2 linked regions of the Xenopus tropicalis genome follow. The protein of the gene in region 1 binds, or shares a complex with, the protein of each later gene. Links are inferred from orthologs where the notes say so. Each region holds a gene or a part of one and is shown on either strand. Other genes may lie near its edges.

Region 1 (13,466 bases):
TTGGGGTGTAGTCAGTAGTTAGGTACCCCCCAGGAACCAGCAGGACGTAGCCTGGGCCACTGCAGCTGTTGCTGAAAAGAAGTGCTGGCCAGTCACAGAATGTGAGACACTCGGCATCTACATTTCCACATTCTAATCAGTTTGAATCATATAACAATTTGATGTTCCAGGACGGACCACTGTTTAGAATTTTTTTGTATAAGGTATTTAAAGGCATGAACAACTACAGAAGAATATACCATTTTAATTGGCACTAACAATATAATTATAGCTTCAGAAAGGAGCCTAAAAAAGGAAACAAGAATTAGACATTTTAATAGAAATAAACCTTAAAAAAATATCTTTGAAAGTGCCATACAAGAACATGGAGGGAATTATATATCTGTCACAATTGTGGCAATGTAACAAAAACATTCCATAAAGGAACCAACAGCAAGGGTTTGTATTCCTTCCTCAGAAATGGCACTGAAGGTTACATCAGTCAAAGCAGGAAAACCACATAGCTTTAGTATTAGCTAGTAAAGATGGCTTGAATAGCTTTAGGGCTTTATTCACTCTCGTCACGGAGGGAGGAGACCTCCTGCCAATCCAATGTGCCTCTCCTCACCCCGTCTCTGAGGTAGAGAGGGAGCAGTGCGAGGGGCAGGGGTAGATCCCGGTAAGCATGGAGCAAGAATACACCCAATACAATGGTAACAAAGCCACTGACTGTCCCCACCACACTGCCAGCACTCAGGTGTTGCCACTCTTGGAACAGGATGGCAGAACAAGCAAGAACAGAGGATGTGAAGAGCACATAATAGATAGGTGTCACCAGAGAGGCTGTAAACACATCCAGGGCTCTGGAAGAAAGAGACACAATACAAATTACAAATGTACAATGCCAATACAAACGGCAACAACAAATACACACTTACTGTCCCTGGTGCTATGAAAGCAGAGTGAGAAAACTTGCAGGATGCCCCTTGGACTCTTGTTGCCCATGTTCTGTCACTCTGCTTGTCAGATAACTGAATACTGTGTAACGAAACATATGGCTGTATATACACAGAGAGGAGTGTGTGTGTGTGTAAGTTGAATGCCACAAGGATTGCTCACCTGTTGAGATAGTGGATTTGGACACTGATGCAGATGCACAGGCACAGCAGTAACACCCATCCAAGTGGATCCTTAAACACTGGCAGTCCAGAGAAGAGACCACGGATGGCTATACCTAGCCCCTTCACACATGCCACCGAAAGGGATCCCACAAGGGAACAGATAAGTACATACACTAGCACATAACTGTGACCCCAGCGGGGGGCAGCCAGCAGGGCAAGGAGGAATGAAAACAGGAGCACACAGGAAACAAAGGCCAGGAAACCTACAAAGAAATACAAAGAGGTGCAATGATACATAGTTATTGATGCCAGAGGCAAACTATAAAATTTTTCTGGGTTTTTTTTTTTTGCCTTTATCTGGATCCACTAAGAAACTGAACTGGTATGTACAGATGAGCAGAGTATTCTGGTACATTATAACTGTCTGTCACCATCTGCTAACTGAATGGGGGCTATACCCGCAATGGTGAATGATGTGCCACAGCATGGATGCAACCTGTCTGCCTCTATGCATCTTGCACTTTATTTGTATCAGGGACACAACCCCCCTTTTCATGCTAGGATTCTGCATTCCTCATTAGAGAGATATGTCACTTATTCTGCTGTTGATCACATGGGTTGTTCATCTTTAAGTTAACCTTTAGTATGTTATAGAATGTACTATTTTAAACAACTTTTTACTTGGTCTTCATTTTGTGTATATATCTGTATATTTATTATTTATTTACTTTTATCATTTATCATTTTATTCGAAGCCACTCCCTGGTTGGTAGTGTAATCGGACCCTAACAACCATATAGCAGATGAAATTCTAACCTGGGGAGCTGCAGAACAAAAATTGTGTCAATATCAAATTGGCTTAGTCAGGAGGGAATCTTTTTCCTTACTGCTATATTTCCCTACTGCCATTTCTGTGGTTTTTAAGCCAATCTGCAAATTCCAAACCTGACAACTAAAGAACAAAAAATGTATATCGTATATAAAAAAACCCAAAATGAATAGAATGTGAAAAAAAAGAAAAACAGTTAGTATATATACCTGTCCCACACAAAGTATGGAAATACATTTATAAGAAGCCTGTTATAAGCACATAGGGGATTCTCTAGGGTACAGGGAATAGAAAAAAAAGAATATACTGTCTGCAGATTGGCTGCCATGCAAGGACAGCTGCTTAATGGCAATTCCACATTAATAACTGCTGCATTATTCTCAATGAAAAAAAAGAAGCAGTTTAGCAGCAATTACATAGAAATATAGTCAGAGAAGCTAAAAATGAACACTCTATTAGGCTATTACGCTGTTAGGTCTAAATCATTCAAAATAAGTATAATCAAACCCCACATTTAAAGCCTATTTTTATTCTGTAACTTGTGTTTTTAAATTGTTGTAGAGTGCTGCAGAAATTGCTGGTGTGATATAAAAAATAATGGTAATGAAGGAGCAGTCTCTTTCTATCTCACAATCCAGCTCTTCCCAGTATTAAAGTACATATATTTTAAAACTGTTAATCATTAATTTTGCAATTTGCTAAAATGGCACTTGCTAAGCTGTTACTTGCAATTCTATCAAGGGTTCAGTATCTCCAGCAAGTACTTCCTACGGCTTCAGTGCTCTGATTATACTCTCTTACTGTTTCCTTGGCCTGGGATGTAACTCCTGTCACCCAAAAACCAAGGATGCCCTTGTGTTCTCAGGAGTGGGCTGTGTGATTCATCAGGGTAGCTCTAACAAAGAAGCCTCTATTATTAGGTGTATCTTTGACAAAGACATTTTCATGGACAAAAACTAGGTGTCTTTACTACTATAAAGAATTGGTACAAAATCACACACCCTCTCCCACAAGGTAGGCATATATAAAGAAAAAGTTTAATTTATTACAATAAACATAATGGTAGGGTAGTTTGTACCTAATGTTTTTTGTAATGCAGTAAAGGTTTCCTTTATATACGTCTGCCCATGGGATCTGCGAGTGCCTTGACATGATGATAAGCGTAGATTAATAAACAGCCTTATGGCATAGCAAGATACCTGTGCTACCAGCGTGATCCTCTTACCTGGCTGTTTCAGTTTTACTTCCATGTCACTCAGTGTTGATACCTCCTCTTCCTGAGGTGCATGGAGAACCATAATAGTGGAGCCCAAAATACTCAGAGCACACCCAGTCTTAGCAGGAGAGGTTAAATACTCATTAAGAAAATAAGAAGAAAGGACCGCGCTGTGGAGAAATATGGCAGATTCCTACTCATGTTTAATGCAAATACACATCAAAAAATATACACAGTCATAATTTACTGATTTTTAAGGAGGAAAATCTGTCTGTATTTTACAATAAATATTGTCGGTGGTATCTTATGCTTATGCGGTATGGATGAGAATAGAGGTGGGGGAGTATTAATAGTAGTATAAGCAAGTAAGAATTTCCAGATTGGGAGGTGGGAGAAAGAGGTAGAGGGGAATGGAAAAAAAGAGTTCCAGCACACAATAATCCAGTTGTCTCCCATTTCTCTCACCTCACCAACACGCTCAATCCTCCCAGGGGAGTCACCAGTGTGGCAGGAGCAAATATATATGCAGCAAAGTTAGCAGCTTCACCCAGTCCCACTACAAAACAACAGATAATAAAGGATAGGTCAGGTGAGTGCAATATCAGAGGTGTGCTAAATGAATTCTGAAAATATACTCACTTGACAAGAGACCAGCCCACCACAGCCACTCCTTGAGGTAAGCATGCCCTCCATGTCCTGCCAGGCAGAGACAGAATTATTTACTTAGAGTATCCTGATATAAAAGGTTATATCGCCATCACTTTTCAGTTTCCTACAAAACTGTTAGCAAAGGAAAGCTTCTGGTTATGTACTAAAAAACACTGCAGGCTGAACTTGTAGGCAGGGGGAAATAAGATATAAAATCAGTGATAAAGGCAATGGTGGAGTACCTGGCAATTCTCACCTGCCCTGAGTTGTCCTCGACTGCAGAGTTTGAGGAGACCCTTCTTTTTCAGAATAAAGCTGCTCCCAATGAAAATGCTGGAGGAAAGAGCTAGAGCCAGTCCAATGTAGAAGTCATAGCGGTTTCCAGTAGTCTCCATATGAACCTGTCAAACATAAATCGTTACTTTTTCCTAGCGAGTACCACTGGGTTTCCAGCAGCAAATTCTCCTTCCAATTATGGGCACTGCCCAAATAAATCAAGTATAATGTTTCGATCAAGCTTCAGCAAGTCAGTGTGAATACACACTATTGTCAATGTGTCTACCCTGCATTGGAAAAGAATTTTATAGCACGGCTTATTTTAGATTTTAGGTAAATATGAATATCTGCTTTTATTTTATCCCAAGAGCTGACATTCATGTATGCCTGTAAGTATATCCATACAGTGCCACAAATAAGTAAAGCATTTTGCAGAAGGAACAGTTCCATTTTATATATAACATTTAAATTCAAACTTTATATATAAATACAGTAAGTTTCTGTAAGTCCCCTCTGGAGAAGCTTACGGTGCCACCCTTCCTACCATGACAGCATGCCATTGTAACTTTAATAAGTAAGGAGACGTATCACTTCCTGGTATAAATGAGCGATAACTGACTAGTGTACTTGCTCTCACTCCCAATAGTTAGTATTTCTAACACTACAGGATTCTAATGCTCCTGCCCATAAGACTTACAGTGCTGATGAACCATAATAAAGCAGAAGCTACCAATGGCAATTTTATTAATACTCAGATTGTAAGCTCTATGGGGCAGGGACCTCCTTCCTACTGTGTCTCATACCACATGGCACTTATAATAAATAAATACATATATGTATATATATATATATATATATATCACTCGTCCTCCCTGTGTGTAATTTTGTATTCTGTAAGACTGTACAGCGCTGAGTACCCTTGTGGCGCTTTATAAATATAGTTGTACATACATACATTAACACGTATGAGACCCTAATGTCTGCCACTTAGCTCCCAGCATGCACAGCGGCACTTACTCCTCTCACTTACAGGGTGCAGGGAGAAACCCACCGCTTAGCAGAGCCGCCCGTTCCACAGTACACACTCTCCGGGGACTGACCCTACCACCCCTATCGGTAACACATACATAGCATCACTTGCTACTCTCATTTCTATTTCGAGCTTCCGTATTCTCTGCAATCATTTGTGAGAGACTTTGGCTGGGTACCCAATTGGTTAGCGAACTCCAAGTACGGTGTCCATTTCAGGACATACATTGTCCAAATTCAAGTGCAAAATTAATACTAGAAGGGGGAGGCGCAATTCAGAGATTTTGGAGGTGGGAGAAAGCAGGACGCACTTGGATTTTTAGATAATTGACCTATAATGGACACCGTAGTCCTGGGCAGTGTGAACCAATCAGAAGGCAAAGGAGTCCGGCTCTATTCCACATACTTCCGGTATCTGGTGCTCTGTGGGCTAGGAATTTCCCATAGGTGTAACTTCACAATGAATTAGAGAGCAGCGGGTCTCCTCCGGTAAGTAGAATACCTGTAGTTCGTCGAGGTGATGGGCCGAGTCTTCGCCGGGGGTTACTGGGAGTTGTTCTTAACCCACAGATGGGAATTCGAAGAACAAATTAGTTTATTATACTCAGTGCCGGTGTGGGCTATAGAGACTGTAGTGCTCCTTATAACGCTGCATAGCTACAAGAAGCAAGCTTTAGCTTTATAGGTGGCAGTCATTTCCAGGGACTGCAACACTAGTCCCCACCGCACTCAGACTGTAAGCTCTGCAGGGCAGAGACCGCCTTCCTTCTGTCTCTCTTACCAGTGACACAGTTATGTATTTTTATACTTATTTATTGCAGTGTTTGTTCTCCCTGTTTACACTTTTCTGTATTGTATAATTGTGCAGCTCTGCATATTCTAGTATGTATGTATGTATATCTTTATTTATAAAGCGCTACTTATGTACGCAGCGCTGTACAGGAGAATACATTAATACAAACGGGCTTATTAAGATAAATACAAAGTCTAACAATAAATATAAATTAATACAAGATACAGTTGCAATAAATTAAAGGAGAAGGAAAGGCTAAGTCACTTGGGGGTGCCAAAATGTTAGGCACCCCCAAGTGACTTAAATAGCTTACCTTGTGCCCCTGTTAGGAGAACACTGCACCAGCCCGGGGTACCTGTAGCGAGCGCTTCCTTCTTCCGTGTTTTTTCTGCGGTGAAATCCCTTGGCCGGCGCATGCGCATTAGAGTGAAAAGCCAACTTTGTTGTTACAGTTCAGCTTTTCACTCTACTGCGCATGCGCAAGCGCGCCAACGCGGGAGAAGGATGCACTCGCTGCTACCCCGTGCTGGTGCTGTTCTCCCTAACGGGCACCAGCCTGGGGTACAAGGTAAGCGATTTAAGTCACTTGGGGGTGCCTAACATTTTGGCACCCCAAGTGACTTAGGATTTCCTTCTCCTTTAAGAGTCAAAGACACAAGAGGATGGAGGTCCCTGCCCCGTAGAGCTTACAGTCGTACAGTAGTAGTACTTTAAAGCTGGTCTGTATGCCACTCCTTTAATGGCTTTGGTTGTAATAGAGAAATTGCGTGTAAGAATTCCTCTTTTAACAACTAAAATTTGTGGAGCAGATTGTCAAAACTGATTCCCACTCACAAGCTCACTAAAATATCTGTGTGCAGCCAGTCTTTTAAAAAGAAAAAAAAAAGGCTTAAACGTTCTGGGGACCTACTGTAGTCATAACAATGGTCTGTCGTTAGAATTTATGGACGATTGGCCAAGTGCAAGATTTAATCTCATGGTTTTTTTTCCACCCACAGATTTCTTTGCCCCCTACTACTGACTTCTCCTGACAGATTGGCCATGACTTCCACAAGTAATATAAATGTTGTTTAAGCGACTGCTAACTTTTTTCTTTACACTATAGTAAAAATACAAATGAATACCTTCTGTATACATTAAATCCTGTATTATATTAAACAACCTTGAAGTGCTTAAAGGGCACCTATTGCAAAAATTACATTTTAATACAGGCTGCATCATATTGAAATAAGAAGATCTCTAGATGTAATCAATTAAAAACTTCTGTACTGTGTCTGAAATAATCAATTTACTCTCCCAGCATCTGTCTCTCTTCATTCTCTCTTTATTCTCTCTCTCTTTATTCTCTCTCTTTATACACTTATTAGGATTCTGATTTTGATTGACAGTTAAGTCTTGTACAGCATTTGGGGGGGGGGGGGGGGGGTAGGTGATCCTTTTGCCTAAAATATGTATTAGAGCTCACTCAAAAATCCTGCCTCTCTACGTCCAGAGAATAAAGACAGGTAGATGCTGAGTGGGAGACAATGAAGAGTAACTTAGTTATTTCAAAAATGGTACAGAATTTTTATTATATTTAGAAAGTTTCTTCCCCATTGTAGGAGAACAACAGATTCTTGTATCTCCAGAAAAGGAAGAAATTTTGGATACACACGTTACAGACTCTTCACTCTAGGGGATTAAAATAAGAGTATAATCTATATGCATTTATTTAATAATATGTGAAAGTAGACTACACTACTGATTTTTGGCTGATTTTTGTATTACACTAGGAATACCAATGATTCTTATTTAATGTATACCTACTGTATGGGATTGCAGCACATTGCATAACATGTACCTTTAAGAGGGGAGCTTTAGGTAGACACTAACAAATGTGTTGTCATTTACTTTTTTGTTTGATAAAGGGGCAGGTTCCATGAAACTTTATTTTTTTTTATTTTTACAATAAAAGCTTTGATTTTCACCAATATTTAGACTTTTTTGTTTATTATAACTTAAGTCTGGTGATTGGCACATTTCTACACTCGGGTTAAGCTAATGTATTCACTGGGGTTGCCTAACACACCATCTCTTAAAAATTTCTATTTCTTAGTCTTTTAATTTATTACTAGTAATATATCCTTTAACATATAGAGACAATGTAATGTGCAGAAATACATGCACTTGTATACTTTCATACCATATTAACAGGAAAATAAACATAATTTTCTTGTATATATGTGCGCTATCTAGAAAAGTGAAAGAGCTGGTAAATATTAATTTCTTTACTTTTCAACACTTCCTCTATATGAGTCCTACTGCCTACAAGGCCAACTGACTTCTGAGTTTTACATATTCCTTCCATAGAACAAAAGACATCAAGGAGCAAAGATGATGCCCCACACGAACTAGAGAGCCAGTTTATCCTGCGACTCCCACAGGTGAGTATGACACCTATCCGAGCAAGGAATCCTATGTAGAGCTGCTTCCATTGCTCCTCCTAAATGATTGCATGGTACTTTTAATGATGATTGTGATTAAAATTACTTTTCTTAAACTCTTAATTTGACAATAGGCTTCATTAGTGCCACATTAAATGCATTGGAAAGTTTAGGGATGGCACACAGTAAATCTGTGCTCTCTTGAGTGGTGTATGTGTGCACTTGACAAAGGTCTGTAGGATGAAAAAATCTCTCGTGTTGAGTCAGCAATAAACCTGGGAACCCCCTTATCAGAAGCCACCAAGTCATCAGACAGACTGTCGCCACTTTCCCAAGTGGTGGAACACAAAAAGAATTAGGGGAATTTTTAAATACTAACTAACAGCTGTCACTGGATCAGGTTCTTTCCTCATCTTCTATTTTTTTTTTTTTTTTTTTTTTTTATTCATTTAGGAATATGCCTCAACAGTTAGGAGGATGGTCCAGTCTGGGAGTGTAAATACAAAAGACAGACTTTCTGTTGAGTTGCATCGTAAGTATTTTAGCAGCCTAGTTTCTGAGGCTGTGAAAGATTCAAGATTTTTCCCATATAAATTGAGGGTGGGGGGGGATTGTTTTAACTAAATAGGGCAAAATTTAAAAATGAACGTAACGTCTCATTCTAATTCCTGTCCCTAAAAGCAAGTTGAAAAGCAAATCAGCAGTCCGCTGAGTAGCTGCTTCTTTTCTCACAGCCTAACAGGCTGCAGCTGGTGCAAGGGGGAGGTTCTCAGTGGACTGCTGATTTGTTTTTACCTTGATTTTTTAATCCAAATGTCACACAACTCTGTCTCTAAGCTGTGTACTGTAGCTGCAAGAGAAAAGCAAGTAACTTGCTTATCACTAGCCAATAAAAGAGGCAAGCACAACCCCTATTGCACAAGCATTTAACTTATGGAGGACATTCTCTATTGCTTTAGTTATCTTTTGAGCTCTAGCCAGTCTAGAGAAAATAAAAAAAACATATATCCTGTCTAACTATAATCAGTCCAATTACTGGATTACAACATACCTATGTATATTATAGAAAATAATTAAAATAAAGAAGAAATACAGATTGTTAGTATCGGTCTGGAATGGAATCCCTGCAGCATATTTGCACTTGATAATTACAAATGTAAAGAGTGGCTCAGGAGGAGCCTTTACCCTGTTGCATGTTTTTAAACTTTGAAGTGATTGCTAATTTATGATGGTTTACTAAGACTGTAGATTGCAATCAATTAGCAATTCGATTTAAACACTTGCCTACAAGTTAGAAATCAGAAGCAAAGATCTGATTGGTTGCTACAGTCCTGGTAAACATGCCCCTTAAAGGAGAAGGAAAGGCAAAGTCACTTGGGGGTGCCAAAATGTTAGGCACCCCCAAGTGACTTTAACCGCTTACCTTGTACCCCGGGCTGGTGCCCCTGTTCGGAGAAAATAGCACCAGCCCGGGGTACCTGGAGCGCAGCACTTCCTCCTTCCGCCTTCAGCTTCCTAAACTGCCGGTGGCCGGGCATGCACAGTAGAGCGAAAAAGCCGACTTAAATGTTTAAGTTCGGCTTTTCACTCTACTGCGCATGCGCGCGCAGCGAAGCCGGAAGGAGGAAGTGCCGACAGCTACCCCGGACTGGTGCTGTTTTCTCCTGACAGCGGCACCAGCCTGGGGTAAAAGGTAGGCGGTTAAAGTCACTTGGGGGTGCCTAACATTTTGGCACCCCCAAGTGACTTTACCTTTCTTTTTCCTTTAATCCTCTATTTATCTTAACTTACTATGTAGTTATGATCTGTTCCCAGCTGATGGACGTCATGGAATTGTACGTGTTGACCGTGTACCACTGGCTGCAAAACTCGTTGATATTCCCTGTGTAGTGGAGTGTTTAAAAACTATTGACAAAAAGACTTGCTACAAGACTGCCGACATCTGTCAGGTATTTGCTGCTTTGTTTTGCCTTTACCTTAAAGTGCCTAGTAAGTACCCTTTCTCCAGATGAGTAATGAAAACAGGTCACATGCTCATTACTGCATTTAGAATAGGGTAACTGCAGAGAAACAAAAAGAGGCAACATGTGTAGTCTTTGTGTAGCTCCAAGTAAGTAACCCTCCGTATTAATACATTCTGTGAATCAGGCCATTTCTTTTATTACTCCAGTAGTTGCATGAATGTCTGCTTTTTTTTTTTTCTCCTAGATGTTGGTATGTACCCTTGATGGAGACCTCTATCCACCTCTTGAAGAGCCAACTGGGACTAGTGACCCAAAAGCCAGCAAGAAGAAGGACAGGGACAGAGAAAAGAAATTTATTTGGAACCATGGAAGTGAGTCTGTTTGTCTTTCATAGTTTGGGGGAAATTGTTCCTACCACTCTTCCTCTGCACACAAGACACACACAATTTTTTCCCCCCTTATGTTATTTCAGTTACACCACCTCTAAAGAATGTGCGAAAGAGACGGTTCAGGAAAACTGCAAAGAAGAAGGTAATTCTGTAGTTATATCATGGTGCATTGAGGGAACCACTTTCTCTTTGGGTTGCATATCGTAATGTGTGATGTGCTGTTTCTTCTTCCTTCCCTACATATTCATCATCTTCCATTTTTCTTGATACTTCTTGATAACCCCTAAGCTTTGTTTTTTCTTTTTAGTATATTGAGTCCCCAGATGTGGAGAAGGAGGTGAAACGGCTTCTGAGCACAGATGCTGAGGCAGTTAGTGTGCGTATCCTTTTATAAACAGCTACCCAGGAGAAAACATATGGTGATCGCTTTGTGATGAGAGAAACATTTTTTGTTCTGGATTTAAACTTATATCTTTATATTTGAGAATCTTATCCTTTCCTTGACTTGCCACCATTAGGATGGGAAGTGATAGCTGAGGATGAATCAAAAGAAGCTGAGAATCTGACTGGGTTGGATGTTTCCCCAGGGATGTCTGGGATCAAACAGGGTCGTGGTTCTTCAGGTAGTTTGTCCTTACCAAAAATAACATTTTTTTTCAGCTTATAAATGTAAATCTCTTTTAGGTCTTGTGCAAACCAATGTACCCTATCATGGGAAGCTGAGGATACTTTGATTCTTAATATATGTGGTATCATGCTGCCCTTGCTATGATACATAGGCAGCTGACTGCCTATGGAAGTGAACATTTCATCGGAAAGGATATTCCAAGCTTCTTTAGTGTTTGCAGAGTTTTTTATCTTGTGTCTTTTCTTCATGCATCCATCTCCCCCCAAAGATCTCTGATTCCAAGAAAGGATTCACAGGGAATTGATCATGTTCTGTCATGAAACTATTACAAACGCCAGTATTGATTTTTTTCTAATAATAATTCAGTAAAGAGAAATGACAGAAATCACTTCTTCCTCCCCTCTTACCTTTAAATCCGTTTTCCTCCATTAATGCTTTGTTTCACTTATTCCATCTTCCTTGTCTCCTTGTAATAACTCCAATGCTCTTTACTTTTTGCAGTGTCTCACAGCCCTTCTGCCTTACTCCATCTTTAATTCACACTGATATTCAGTGCTGGAACAATCTGACCTGCTGCCTGCTGCTAGATTTTCTTCTAACTAAACCCAGCCCTTTTATGGTCCTCTTCACACTTTTTTATTTTGCTCCACATTCCTCTGCAAACATCCATTAAATATGAGCTTATATTCTTATGTTCTTAATTAGCTTTTTTAAATTATTCTTATTCCCTCCATCTTAAGCTCTAACTTGTCTTTCCCAACATGTCTCTCTCTTTCCAGCAGTGGAGAGGGAAGAATTGCGTCAGATCTTTAATGACATCAGTAGTAGCAGTGATGGAGAAGAAGAGGAGGGAGAACGCCAGGAAGAAGAAGATCTTAATATCATGGAGACTGAGGAGGAGCAGAGGGCAGGACAGGATGGTCAAAAGGGAGGCACTAACCAGATTGGTGAGAGTATAGCGGAGCACAAGTTTTTTTTTTTTTTGTTTTTTTTATAGTGAAAGTAATATTTTAGCCAGAGAAGAATGCAGAACTTATGGGGAAGTTGATCTTAATGATATCCCATTTCCCTATGTATCAGTTCTGGAGATGCAGAAACAGCTGGAAAATTTACAAAAGAAACTGCGAGAGACACAGGAAAGAAGAAAAAGACAAGAAGAGCTTATAATGAAGGTTGAAAATGTAGCACTGAAGGTAACACATGATTGCAGCACTGTTGCCTTGTGTGAGAGAGAAAATGTATATAAGTGGATTCAGTAAATGCTTAACTATGGTCATTTTATGTTTAGCAATATGTGTGTGTGACATTTATGTAGGCATGCAAGATAGGGTAGGATGGACAGGATAGGGCTCCTGTTTATGTAAGAAGTGTCTAAGAGCAATTTTTTCCAGGCATATGAGAACCTGGGCATTCACTCCTTGCAAGAGAAATGGTTGAGCACAATGTTCAAATACACATGAAGTAGAAGGGCCGGGCACACTCCTTGTGCAAGACTACTAATGCATACCAGAAACTGGAAGTTACAGGCAAACAAAGATTGTAGGGTATACAGTATGGATGTAAACAATGGCCATGGGGGTCTAGGGGTCTGGGCACACTCCCTCTGTGTGAAAGATGGTGAATGTAGTTACTCTTTCTGTTTTTGGTTGATTATTATAGATGGGTTGATACAAGTTTGATGATTGTATCTGGCCATGCAGCTATTTCACACAAACTTTCTTTCTTTATTTTAGACTCGCTTACAAGCTGTGTTGGATGAGTTTAGGCAGCAGGAGGAAAGAGAAAAGCAACAGGTATGTATTATGGCTTTATAGTCTGTGACCCATTGCTTAGATTTATCTTATTTAAGGGACAAAATGAATGCTGTGACATAGTTCCAAGTTTTTTCCATTGTTTTGTGTTTTGCAGTATGGCTGTATATTGGCGACATTGTTATTTGCTAACTGTGTGCAGGGAGACTGAGAATTATTGCTTATCAAGTGCAGTAATTCTCAGTGTGTATCCCCAAAAGCAGACAAAAATGCATACAGTCACGCTACTGACAGAAAATAGAAGATGACAGACTGTGCATCTTGAGACTGTTTGAGGCTGTTTGTTTTTTCCTAGTTGACTTAGGGCCCCCAGTGAATTTGTATGGGCCAGCATCTCTACACAGTTGTCCAGTATCCAGC
Region 2 (12,830 bases), on another chromosome or scaffold:
CTTACAGGATAAAATTGGCTTGTAGGCAAAATGCAAACTCCAGTCAGAACCATGGAGAAAGGTTGGTTATAAGGTTCAGACTCCCTGCGAGAAAAGGAGATACCATACTGCTACAGCAGTGCAACTCCTAGCCAGTCTGGATGTACCCAGTGTAATAATGAGCCCCAATACCTGCAGAGTTTGCATGGCAGACTCGACTCACCAAGAAAGGCTAACAATATGAAACAGCAATAGCAAGGAGGCCTAGAAGCACACAAACACATTACAGGATAAAATTGGCTTGTAGGCAAAATGCAAACTCCAGTCAGAACCCTGGAGAAAGGCTGGTAATAAGGTGCAGACTCCCCGTAAGAAAAGGAGATACCATACTGCTACAGCAGTGCAACTCCTAGAACAGTCTTGGAAGCACCTGGTGTAAATGAGCACCCATACGAGCACCAATACCTGCACCCATACCTGCTGTGTCTGCACAGAGGACTCAGGCTTACAGTAAAAACACTAAAGATATCAATAGCAAAGTGCCCTAAAGGAGCACTTACACCTTACCAGATAGCAGTGAGTAGTCAGCAGCATGGCAACTCCCACAAGAACCCAGACAGCCTTCAGCTGAGGGACATAATTAGCTCATTAGTATGCAGGCCTCTCAGTGCACTGAGCATTTCATACACACAGTGGAGACTGAAGATTCATACTCACCAGATTCAGGCTTAGTTATCACTAGCCCATATCCATACCCATGGCCCTTTAGTCCGAAATGTCTTCAAAGGCTCAAAACATCATAGGAAAAAGGAGACTCAATTGATCACAGGCAGGAATGTGGAAATACCCACTCCTGTATACTTTCCCACTAAGCAGCTGTTCACATACTGTGCATACATGGGAATAGAGCAGGGGGCTATTTTAGCACAAGGCTAGGACCATGGGTATGCCCACACCTGCATTTCTTCCCAATAGGTGAAAGTTTGATTACTTTACTTATTGGGGCATCAGGTAAAATCTTCTCCATTACCTGGGAATCATCCCTCTATGTATACACAGAGGTAAAAAATAAAATAAATAAATAAATGACAAAAACAAAAGAAAAATCAAACTGTGAAATCACAAAATGGTGAGGAGGGAGATCCTACCTCCTGTTCAGTAGGACAAAAAATAACAGTGGTGAGGAGGAAGTCACATGGTCTTATAGGTAAGGGCTAATTTTGATTGGCTTTGGTATATAGGTCCTACCTCCTAGCTATGGGGGCAATACTGCCCCTGCGTACTGACATGGAAGGGACGAAGAAGAAAGTAGGGTTGCCACCTGGCTGCTATTTTACCTGCCTGGCCGGTAAAAATTATGCTTGATCCCAATGTTATTAATATGAAAAAAAAGATAAAAATATCGGAAGCCCAGTATTTTTTCTCATAAAAGGTGGCAACCCTAAACGCAAGAAAAGTTTACAGATGAACACAGGGCAAAAGACCTGTGATATAGGCATATACTTAAGGAGTTAGCAGCTAGCCTGGGCAATAATTAAACCAAAAGGTGTTATTTAAACCCAAAACTCCCATCAAATTCTGTGTTTTGGCGTCCAGACAAGGTTGTATTTTTTGTGTGTGCGTACGTGCTTGCGTCAAGTGGACGGAGAAGGAGAAGGAGAGGGGGAGGTGCGGCACTTTTCTGTGTGAATAACAGTACCGCCGTCCCTGGAGCTGTGCGCTACGCACTAAGTCATCTATATTGATTAAAGTATCTTTCTAATGTGTGAAATGTTTTCACCTTCAATTACTTCTACTTTTGTTAGACATTATTTAAGGTAATGTTGAATAAGATTGCCTGTGACTTTTTTACCAGGACTCCTGGTGCTTTGCATGAAAAGGAAGGGGGTGGAGTTTTGGCCATTCTGTGTGTTCTCTCGCAGCAACTGGCTAATCATGTGAATTATACTCTCATCTCTCTCTCAGCCTCTCATCTTCGAAACAGCTAAAAAAGGAGCGAGTGAGAGATTTTGAGTACTTAACCCGGCTTTGTTATTTGTTTATTGTAGGCATGTGGCAGTATTACATACATTGATACTCTTAAATAAAAAAAAGTATCAGTCCTCTGCGTGATCACTAGGCGTTGCCGGGAAAATAACCCTGCGGAACACAGTGTATTAATTAATACGCTTCAATATGCTTATTCCTGCTGATACATCCTCATTTTCTCTGTTTTTGAACTTAATTATTGGGCGCCCAGACCATCGATCTCTAGCAGCCCAGTTTACAAAAATTATGCTTTCGAAATCTCTTGATATCGATTCCGCACTGCAGTCCTCCACAAGGGAGACCCGCAATGTGCCATACACGGCACAAGCCCTTTTTAACTATCATCTGGTTTCTGCAACCTCCAGGGGCAGCATAACCCTTACACAACATATGGCGACAAAGTTTCGGTTAGGGAAATATCTATAATTGTATATGAGTGCTAGATCGGGATACACTAAATATAAGATAATTCACTTTCATAAATACAACAAACAGTATTTTACATTTTAATTTTATTGCCAAGCGAGGGCCATATGCAAATTATGCTAAATAGAAGGGATGATGGGACTGCCAATTCCCGTCCACAGCTACATTTAAAATCGCGAGAAAAGGTGCAATTTTTGTTTAGGTCGGCGTATTGGGAGCCATGTTTTTCGGTTTTCTGCGCATATTCTGAGTTTTGGATTGTTCCCGTTAAATAAAGTGTGGGGGGGAAGAAGAATTTGCGCATGAGCGGAAAGAATGTGTGATGTAACGTCCGCCAACAGGGAGAGAGACAGCAGAACTTAAAGCGCAGAGATTGGTATGTGGACTCCGTGATTATATTGTCGCTTTATCAGGTTTTCCTTGCGAGAATCGGGACGTATGGGATTCCCGGGTATCTCACTTTGGTGTCCCTACTCTCCCGGCAAAGCAGTGCAGCAAGTGCTAGTGCGCAGCAGGTTGTACGTAACGTACCGTGCCAATCATCTCACTCATGTGTGAGACTCACACACGGTATTATGTATTTAGGTATATTGGAACATATATACATACACACAGGAGGGTTACAATTTCAACTTGTTAGAATCCAGTTCGTTGCAACTTTCAGATATACGTTAAACAATTTCAGTGGTGTATAAATCGCTTTCAGACTGGCTCGCTGGTTATATGTATGTATGTATGTATAACTTTATTTATTAAGCGCCACAAGGGTATGCAGCGCTGTACAGTCTTACAGAATACACAATTACACACAGGGAGGACAAGTGATATAATAAATAAATACAATAAATACATATATGTATATATATATATATAAGTGCCATGTGGTATGAGACACAGTAGGAAGGAGATCCCTACCCCATAGAGCTTACAATCTAAGTGGTTGGGTAACATACAGGCACAAACTGGAAGGTAAGAGTGCACCAGGTATGGGCATCTTCTGTTCACTGGTGCGGAATCCTGAAACAATGTATTAGAAGTTAGTTGAACTGAAATGGGACTTGCTGGCTACATTGTTTCAGGAGTCTCTTCTGTTCTGAATATTTTTTTTCCTGCATTGCTTTAATGTGTAATGGGGATAGGTTACACTACATATAGCAAAAGGCAGAAATCGGTAACAAAAACAATATGCCAGTTGTTTGGTTTTTCCTTAAAGGAGACATATCCTATAAAAATGATGAATGTTCCAGTGAATTATACTCCTCTAGATATAGAAGGATTGTGCTTAAAAATGTTGTGTTTCAGACTGATTTATTGAGAAATTCCACCAAAACCCCACTAGTCCCGCCCATCTGTTCCACTTCCTGCTGGCTGAATTCTCTGGATGAGCTGGGGAGCCGCCCTCAGTACCCTGCACTGTAGGACAGGAACCAATCAGCAGCTAGGCTGACCTGATAGGGAACTGAAGCCTGTCTGTGCTTGTGTGAGGGCAGGGCTGTGATTGGCTCTCCCCCTCCTACTGTGCTTCTGGCAGGGACTGTTAGGACACGCCCACTCTCCATTTCACACTGGACAGAGAAGTGATAGGATCTATAGGGAGCTCCAATAAAGGGGCCATTGTTACAGATAGGGTTAATGTTTAGCCCAAAGGGAAACCAGCACCGTATATTATTCATAATTGCCTACAAAATAAGTGTTTTTCCCCATTTATCCAATATGTCTCCTTTAAAATTTTTGTATAATAACATACCGGTTAGGAGCATTGTCTTGCCTATAAAATTACATCAATATTACACTCTCTAAATAGATGAGAAGAAAGTAAGCTTACCTTGGATCATTTTTGAGTTATAGCTAGTAACTTGGTGAAATGTCATCGTTACTAACCCAGTCCACCTCAGTCTGTGATATATACTAATAACCTTATACAATGTGCCCAACTGATGCTGTTATTGTCTGCAGAAGGCCGGTGATGATGACGTGTGTGCTCAGCGGTTCCACCGCCGTGTGCGATGTCATTACAGAGCTAGATACTCAACTGGCTGTAAGTAAATAGTGTGTTAGCATGAGCCACTGTATAGTGATACAAAGTATCTCTGTACCATACAGCCTTATTAACCAACTTCTGCGCCGTTCATTAATGTGTGTGTGTGTACAGTACTGTATGTGCTGGTATTTAATGTATTCCCAATGAAAATCTATTCACTGGGACTCAATTAACACTGTAAATATTGAAGCTAACAGCTAAAAAATTGCTATGAGCTATTGTATTGAGGCAAATTTACAAAGTGTTGGTAAATATGCCCCTATGCCCTTTATGGTGTTTCTTCCTGACTATACTTTGCATTGGATAGTCAGGCAGAGTAGGTAAATAATAGGACTAGGTTACAGGGTCAGACTGGCTCACCATGCTACTGGAAAAAAAAAACAGTGGGCCCCCCAACCCTGTTGGGCCCTGCCACCTGAACGCCATCTTTTATTTTTTCACAGCAAGTAAGCAGCAGAGTGGGCCACTGCTTACTTGCTGTGAAAAAATAAACTTGGCGGTGTGCGTTCTAAAGTTGAGCCTATAACAGTAAGTAAGTAAAGCAGGAGTAGCTGTGGGCGAAGCAGCTGTGGGCTCCTGAGTTGGTTACCCAGTGGGCCCAGGGTTACCCAATCCAACACAGGTGTGCTTTATAGGTAGCAAAAGAGCAACAAGCTACCTAATAATTGCTTTCTACACTGGATATGACAGGTTTTTGCTTAGGGTTGTCAGTATGTTTTTATTTAGCAGACCGATTACTTTATTTGCAATAGCGGAAAAGTGAAAATAAAGCCCACATTCTTAAAGGAATAATGTCATGGGAAAACATGTTTTTTTAAAAAGCATCAGTTAATAGAGCTTCTTGAAAAGAATCCTGTATTGAAATCTGTTTTTCAGAAACCCAAACACATTTTTGTTTATATTTACATTTGAAATTTCACATGGGGCTAGCCATATTCTTCATTTCCCAGGGTGCCACAGCCATGTGACCAGTGCTCTGATAAACCTCAGTCACACTTTACTGCTGCTCTGCAAGTTGGAGTGATATCACCCCCCTCCCACCAGCAGCTGATCAGAAGAACAATGGGAAGGTAGCAAGATATCAGCTCCCAATAGATATCAGGATAGCGCTGGCTTGGGACTCCTACAGTTACATGGGAGTAGGAGAAACAATAGGTTACCTGAAAGCAGTTCTAATGTGTAGCGCTGGCTCCTTCTGAAAGCTCAGACTCGGGCACAATACACAGAGATGGCACCTACACACCAATATTAGAATTTAAAAAAATACATTTGTTGGTTCAAGAATAAAATGTTAATGGTAGAGTCAATTATTATATGTAAACAGTGTACTTTAGAAATAAAAATGAAACCATAAAAATCATGACAGAATCCCTTTAAGGTGGCAGATATGTCCAATTAATGCAATGGTAAATGCTCCACAAAGACTGATATAATTGGTTATTGGAACATTAGACTATAGTGCACCATAAAGTAAAAGCTTGGTCACATTAGGTATATTGGTTTGAGTTCAATCAGATACATGTGCTCAGATTGGTTCACCTCTCTATTTAGGGCAGGGGTAAACAGGGAGATTAGTCGCGCATCGAGTTGTTGTCGCGGCCTTATCTCCTCACAATGCCCGAAGTTACCTCAGAAGACCACTTTGGGCAACTGTAGGACATCGCAATGACGTGTATGCTATCCCACCGGCTATTTACATTCTAGCTGGTGGGGTGGCATTGCAGGGAGATTAGTCGCCTGCGACAACGGAGATTTGTCGTGGCACGACTTATCTCCCAGTGTACCCCTGCCCTTACACTCACCTTTTGCAGTTCTCCAGAGCCATCAACCTACTTTTGCTTCAGTTAGGAAAAGTTATGTATAAAAAGAATCCTGCTGTCCTGTCTGATTCTTGCAAGTTTTTAATGTGCTAACCTCCTTTCATGAGGTTACAATGCAAACTACCCCTTCCCTCCTGCATAATCACAGTGTGTTTTATCATAATCCAATTAGTAAATGATGATTACCATGCTAGGATGGACGGAGGGCAAATTATGCAGTGAATCCAAAAAAAAAAAAGGTATGATTGTGGTGCAATGGGAGATCCAGAGGTTCAATAAATTTGTAATTCCAGCCCCTGCATTGACAGGGATTTTATCGGCTAGTCGGGCATCCCTAAAAACCATGTTTTGTTCAAAGATGTAGAGCCAACAATTTGTATCTATGTGCTTTCATTAAACTGAGACTATACCTAAATATAACTGGTGGAAACAGGATCAGGAGTGATGTAGAATTACATTTATTTATTAAGTACTTCCACTATATATTTTGTAGCGATGCACCAAAGCCACTATTTTAGGATCCGCCTGAACCCCCCCAGGATTAGGAAGGGTTAAAGAGAACCGCACTCTTTTATGTTTATGTGACAAATTCAGCCGAATCCCAAACAGAGTTCTAGAGTTCGGTGCATTCCTAATATTTTGAGAATAGCTGTACTGTAAAACGTGATCATACTAACTTCCTGACACCAAACATATAAATGAATTGTTTAGCCTTTCTTTTTACTGTTCTAAGGATGTGCAGATCCCAGTATTGCAGGTAGCAGGGCTTGCTTAGGATATTGTCAGGCAGTTAATAGGCACTGTTGTTGTGAACTTTAAAGGTGACCATACACTGCAGATGTGTTCATTTAGTGAGGTGGCCAAGCAAGAAAATTTGGGCCTCATTTGGCCACCCACATGCTGGTACAAATAAGATATCTTCAGGAATTATCCCACATCACCCCTAAGTTAGTGCAGTTTCTCCTTGATAGAATATTTGGTTTAGTTTAAGCCCTGTATTACAATAGTCCACTTTTCATTCAAAAGAGTTCCTTTTTAAACCAAGTGTTCTTTTCGCAATTGATACCTTTTTAGCGCCTCTATTACTTTTTTTCTGTTATGTTAGCAAATAAACTTACCATGTCCTTTACTTCTAACATTCTCACCTGCCTGCTTGTTTCTTTGTATCTGCTGTCAACTGTGTATTGTATTTGTGTCAGCAACACCACTGCTAGGCTGGATTTTAGATAGGTCATTTAAAATGGAAAATAAACATTTTAATACTACACTGATATTGTTGCTTTGAGTTGGCCATACATGTAAAAATGTAACTGTTTGCCATGATGGACAACTGTAGGAATAAACATTTAGTTGGCAGGCATGATAACATCAACATAAAGAACAAAATTAAGCATATGTGATGGTTCTGTTGTTGTTGTTAGATTCAGAATACTTTTAACATTATAATGCTCCCCTAAGCCAACCTGACAAATTTTTGAAGCAGACAAACTGATGATATCCATGGTACAAATAGCCTCTAAATATAATTAACTTCTAAATACATATAATCAGGTATTCAAGTTATAGCCTTTTATAAGTTTTTTTTTTTTTGTTTTTTTTTTTTTTGCACTTGACACCTACAGTTTTCTGTTTTATATCCGATTCCACAGCTTCTAGGCCCTGGGCCCCATACCCCAAAACAGCGTGCTGACGTATCCCGACTGGGTGAATTGCGAGCAAAAGCGCTCCAGATTATGAACCAGTTTGGAGCATCCGCATTGATCAACCTGTCAAGTTTCTCCTCCTCTACAACCACCACCACCACTCCTACCTCAGTCGCGGTCAAACAGGAGCCAGTCATGGCAAACAGTACTCCAGTTGGTAAAGTTCCAGTGCCAACTGCTGGAGGAGGGCGTGCAAGTCCAGATGCAAATCAGGTGAGTATATTTTAACTAAGGTTGGTTAATAACTCTGGAAGGTATTTGCAGCACCTGTAAAATCAGGCTTCATTGTTACAATATTAGTTTTAAAAGTGCAAGATGTTTTAAGCCCAATAGCAATGGGCAGGTAAGTGAAAATAATTTATAATATGAAGCCTTATTTTTTATAGCAATAGTTGAAACCCAAGCCATGGTTTACAGCAGGCATCCTCAAACTATGCCCCCCCCCCCCAAGGTAATTTACCTGGCCCCACTATGATCTGACGCAAGGATGCAGGTTGGAGCCGGAGGATGCAGTAGAGAGCAGGGGGAAGCAGCAGGGAGTGGGCCATAGTATGAGGACACGGGGGGAGGACTTTAGTCCGGCCCCCCAACAGTCTGTGGGAACATGAACTGGCCCCCCTGCTTTAAAAGTTTGAGGACCGCTGGTTTACAGGCTTTATTGCACAGTTGGACAACTAACTAATGCAGCAGGTTTTGCCAGACTGTATAAGGCTAATTTAGAATATGTTAAACTGTTTAGTGTAAAAATAAAACTGGGCAAAAAGGCTGTGCAAAATGAAAATTGTATTCAATATAATAAACAGAGGTTTAATGTAATAGCCAGAACATAACCTCCTCCTTTGTATCTCTTTAACCTGTTAATCAGCAACTAAAAGGGGGGGGCTACGACAATCTGGACACATAGCTCACCCCCTTACAGTAATTTTGACTGACCCGACAGAACTAAACACAGCCACCTACACTGTGACAATTACAATGCCTAGCAATAGTACCCTTGTCTGTATTGGCCTAAACCTGACTCGACACCATTCCAATGTCAATATATTAAACACTGTTTTGTATTTTTGTTTTGTGATGTTGTAAAACCAATAAAAATGTACCTTTAAAAAAAAAGGGGGGGGGGCTACATAACATGACTGTTCATACTCAGGATCTAGCTTAACTGTTATTTTCCATGTTGCCCCCTTCAAGTTGCTGACTGATAGGTTAGAGCGATGCAAAGGAGGAAGTTGTGTTCTTGCTATTACATTAGACATCCTTTTACTCCTCCTTTACAGATTATATTTTTGGCTAACTACATTGAATTTTGTTTTTATATTGCACAGCCTATTTACCCAGTTTTATTTTTAAACTGAAATGTTCCTTTAAAGGTTAACTAAAACCTTTTGCCAACCTTCCACCATTTAAATGCCACCAGAACACTGAAAACAGTAAATACTGTCAGTTTTCTAGCTGTATTTGATGTTACCACCATAAGCACTTAGCCCATCCATCCCATGCCTTCAGCATGTTTAACAGGCACAGCAGAAGTCTATGTCCATGTGCGCACCATTATGCCTTGTGAATAATTTCTCATTTAAATTCCTACATATAAATGGGTTCTGATGTTGCTGCTAATTTTGATTATCATGCTTAGTTTAAGCCTACGTTTAACAATGTGGCAGCTCCCATTCAAATACAGATATAAAGAAAAAGAATGTTCCATACATGCAATAAGCTGTGCTGTCATACTGTAGGAAGATAAGTGAAAGTTAAGTAGAAATAGGATAGGTTATTCCTGTATATTGAAAGTACACATTTTTAACTGATACTGTCAATAAGATTGCTGCAAGCAAAGCAGTCAAGTTCCAGAATGGCCCATCAGCTTGATCACTACTTGGGGAACATCAATCAATTTGGTTTAGCGATGAGCTTCAAGGTTTGATGTGGGCAGTAGTTCCACACATCACCCAATCATCTGCTAGGTTGATGTAGCAAGGTTAGAGTAGTTTATAGATTTATTTCTCTGAAAACTTGGGTTAGTGCTTGAAGGCAGTTCATGGGGGTACCAAATAATAGCCATGATTGGTTATTTGGTAGCCCCTATATGGACTGACAGCCTACAGAAGGTTCTGTTTGGCATTACACTGGGTTTTTATGCAACTAAAACTTGTGAATTCGAAACCAGGAATTCAAAAATAAACACCTGCTTTGAGGCAAAATCCTAGAGGTTGATGAGTAATGTTGCTCCTGTGCCACTGGTTGGGGATCACTGGTTTATAAAATTTGCAGCTAACTTAAATTGTTTCACTTATAATTAAATCGAGATGCTCAACCCAAACAAAAATATTAATTATAACTCATAACTCATTTATTTTGTTTCTATAAGGTGCAGATACAGTGGTTCCCTGTGAGTGTAGAATTCAACAAATACTAAATATGGAGGTATTATTGACGGTCAAAAAGTCAATAATTATTATGAAAAGTTTGTTACCTAGCTAATATGACAAGAAGGTACCTTTATTGCTTAGGTACTGTTAAGGAGATTTGAGTCATAATATGGAATATAAACACAAATGTAGGATTCCCAAATCTATGTCAAAATGCACTCTGCCTGCCAAATGGTAAATATTAATATGATAGCACTGTTTAATTTAATGGTGGATCTAAAATCATGCCAGACAACACCATAGATATAATAATTGAGTGCACTAAACGCTTAAAGAAATTTCTTAGCTGCTATATCAGATGCTTATAATGTAGACAGTTGATAACACATAAAATACCCTGTATCTTGCACTAGGCTGCGGTCACAACTCTCCAGTATTAATCTGCCTTGGAAATATTACACTATGAATTGAACACACTCATCAATGTATCCATTAGGTTCTTACTAAGAAGAAACTGCATGATTTGGTTAGAGAAGTTGATCCCAATGAACAGCTGGATGAAGATGTGGAGGAGGTAAGATTTCCAAAGCTGTATGAAAGAAACTAGCTTCTTCCTAGAATTCTCTTCTGAATATCGCTGACCTGCCTCTGTCCAAAATTTGGAAGATGGCAGGCACTCCAGGACTTGAGAAAGTATCAAGCAGTATCTCAAAAAATGCAGTAAAATGAAAAAAATGTATTTATATTAACACATAATGCTGCATAGCCTTACGCATTTCGTACCATCATGGTACTTAATCATAGGCTAAATAAAAAGACACAAATGACAAGTATCTATCTATGCTACTGACACATCAGTAGCTGGACATTTTCATGAATGTTCAAATAGATCATTATCCCATCTTTCTGTTGTAGGCATAGATAGAGCCTTTCCTTGTCCTAGAGGAGGTAATATTGTTAATGCTCTTATTAAAAAAGAAACCAAATGGATCTTTTACCTTTATACACGACAACCAAATGGTCTAAATTATGACTACGATGTATCTTGTTATGTGTAATTAATCCATTTATTATCCTTTTATGAAGTAAGCTCTTCATTAACAGACAATGAGAAATTAGTAATAGAAAGGTTAAACTTTTATTGCATCTACATTATAAGGTGACATGATGTTAAAAATGTGACAATAAGAAGGCTCAAACCAATGTAAAAAACTGCAAATGTATGATGTGAAGCTATATCTTTATTCTGAAAATAAAAGAGTTAAATACAAAAAAAAAAAAAGAAAGGTTAAACTTTATTTTACAATATACATATTTACATTTTGTAAAGATAATACAATTTATGATATCCTTGGCAGATCTGTATACTATATTGCCTAACACTAATGTTTTTGTTCTAATATCTAAGCTTAGACTGCATAATGGTCTTCCAATTAACCTCAACATACTATGATTGGTTGATCTTTTCTGTACAGCTATTGGCTAATTTGTGTCTTTTTATTTAGCCTATGATTAAGTACCATGATGGTACGAAACGTGTAAGGCTATGCAGCATTATGTGTTAATATAAATAAACATTTTTGATTTTACTGCAATTTTTGAGCTACTGCTTGATACATTTTCTCAAGTCCTGGAGTGCCTGCCATCTTCTAAATTTTGGATTTCCTTATGGCCCCCTCAAGCTGAAGGTCTGGGGCGTGAGCACCCAGGCCCATCTATACCATCGGTGAGCATTCAACCAATATTTGACTTTAAGAGCATAGTTTCCATTTGTGTTTATCTTGCTCTGTCCACATAGATGCTTCTACAGATCGCAGATGATTTCATTGAGAGTGTGGTATCTGCAGCCTGCCAGCTTGCCCGACACCGCAAATCCAACACTTTAGAAGTTAAGGATGTACAGCTTCATCTTGGTATGTTAACCATAACCATATGATGCCAACTTTGTATTTTGTTTAATTCTGCTGTCCCACTTGGATAAGATACACATGAGCAGCTTTTTCTCAATATGTATAAAAACCCTGTCATGAGCTAAGATGAATCTGTGCAAAAGTGGGATTAAATCAATATAAAAGTCAGCAAAAACACATCACACATCACACTTTCCTAAATAAATATTAGTGAAGATTTTCTGTGTATTAGTGTGCATGCACTGGCACAAGGGATCCTTGGGAAAAGCAGTCAAGATTTTTATTGTCTATAATTTTCATGAATAAATATATGTGGGGGGGGGGGGTTGTCACTTCAAAATCTGAACCCACTGCCTTTACCCTTTATTTTTTCTAGCAGGAGTCCATTATTCAGAGGGGTTGTATGTGTACTAGTAATTCAATTATCTACCTCAAAAGACTAAACATGGAGTAGTTTAAATTTCCCTGTTTGCCCTGTTTAACAAAAAACATTGATCTTTCATGATTAAAACATTAGGCGAAAAGTATGTTCATTGCAAGCTCTATTTATTATG

Evidence for each region.
Region 2: taf7 (region 1) and taf12 share a complex: the UniProt entries of both Homo sapiens proteins name them as parts of the TFIID basal transcription factor complex. The link is inferred for Xenopus tropicalis from reciprocal best matches to the Homo sapiens genes TAF7 and TAF12.

Annotation. Positions count from the first base shown.
Region 1 is NC_030684.2:37,688,094-37,701,559, forward strand, and holds the start of taf7 (transcription initiation factor TFIID subunit 7-like), read left to right. Parts: upstream 1-5,552; 5' UTR 5,553-5,587; intron 5,588-6,889; 5' UTR 6,890-6,932; coding exon 6,933-6,945; intron 6,946-8,240; coding exon 8,241-8,314; intron 8,315-8,767; coding exon 8,768-8,846; intron 8,847-10,129; coding exon 10,130-10,263; intron 10,264-10,522; coding exon 10,523-10,649; intron 10,650-10,750; coding exon 10,751-10,809; intron 10,810-10,974; coding exon 10,975-11,047; intron 11,048-11,185; coding exon 11,186-11,290; intron 11,291-12,074; coding exon 12,075-12,242; intron 12,243-12,375; coding exon 12,376-12,488; intron 12,489-13,028; coding exon 13,029-13,088; intron 13,089-13,466. Other genes in the region: MGC108429 protein, read right to left, coding at 548-842, 1,099-1,363, 3,155-3,315, 3,611-3,701, 3,785-3,841, 4,050-4,188. UniProt on the Homo sapiens protein: The TFIID basal transcription factor complex plays a major role in the initiation of RNA polymerase II (Pol II)-dependent transcription.
Region 2 is NC_030678.2:78,443,263-78,456,092, reverse strand, and holds the start of taf12 (transcription initiation factor TFIID subunit 12), read left to right. Parts: upstream 1-2,786; 5' UTR 2,787-2,809; intron 2,810-4,389; exon of another isoform or gene 4,390-4,399; coding exon of another isoform or gene 4,400-4,471; intron 4,472-7,943; coding exon of another isoform or gene 7,944-8,027; coding exon 8,028-8,210; intron 8,211-10,862; coding exon 10,863-10,940; intron 10,941-11,485; exon of another isoform or gene 11,486-12,164; coding exon 12,165-12,279; exon of another isoform or gene 12,280-12,830. UniProt on the Homo sapiens protein: The TFIID basal transcription factor complex plays a major role in the initiation of RNA polymerase II (Pol II)-dependent transcription.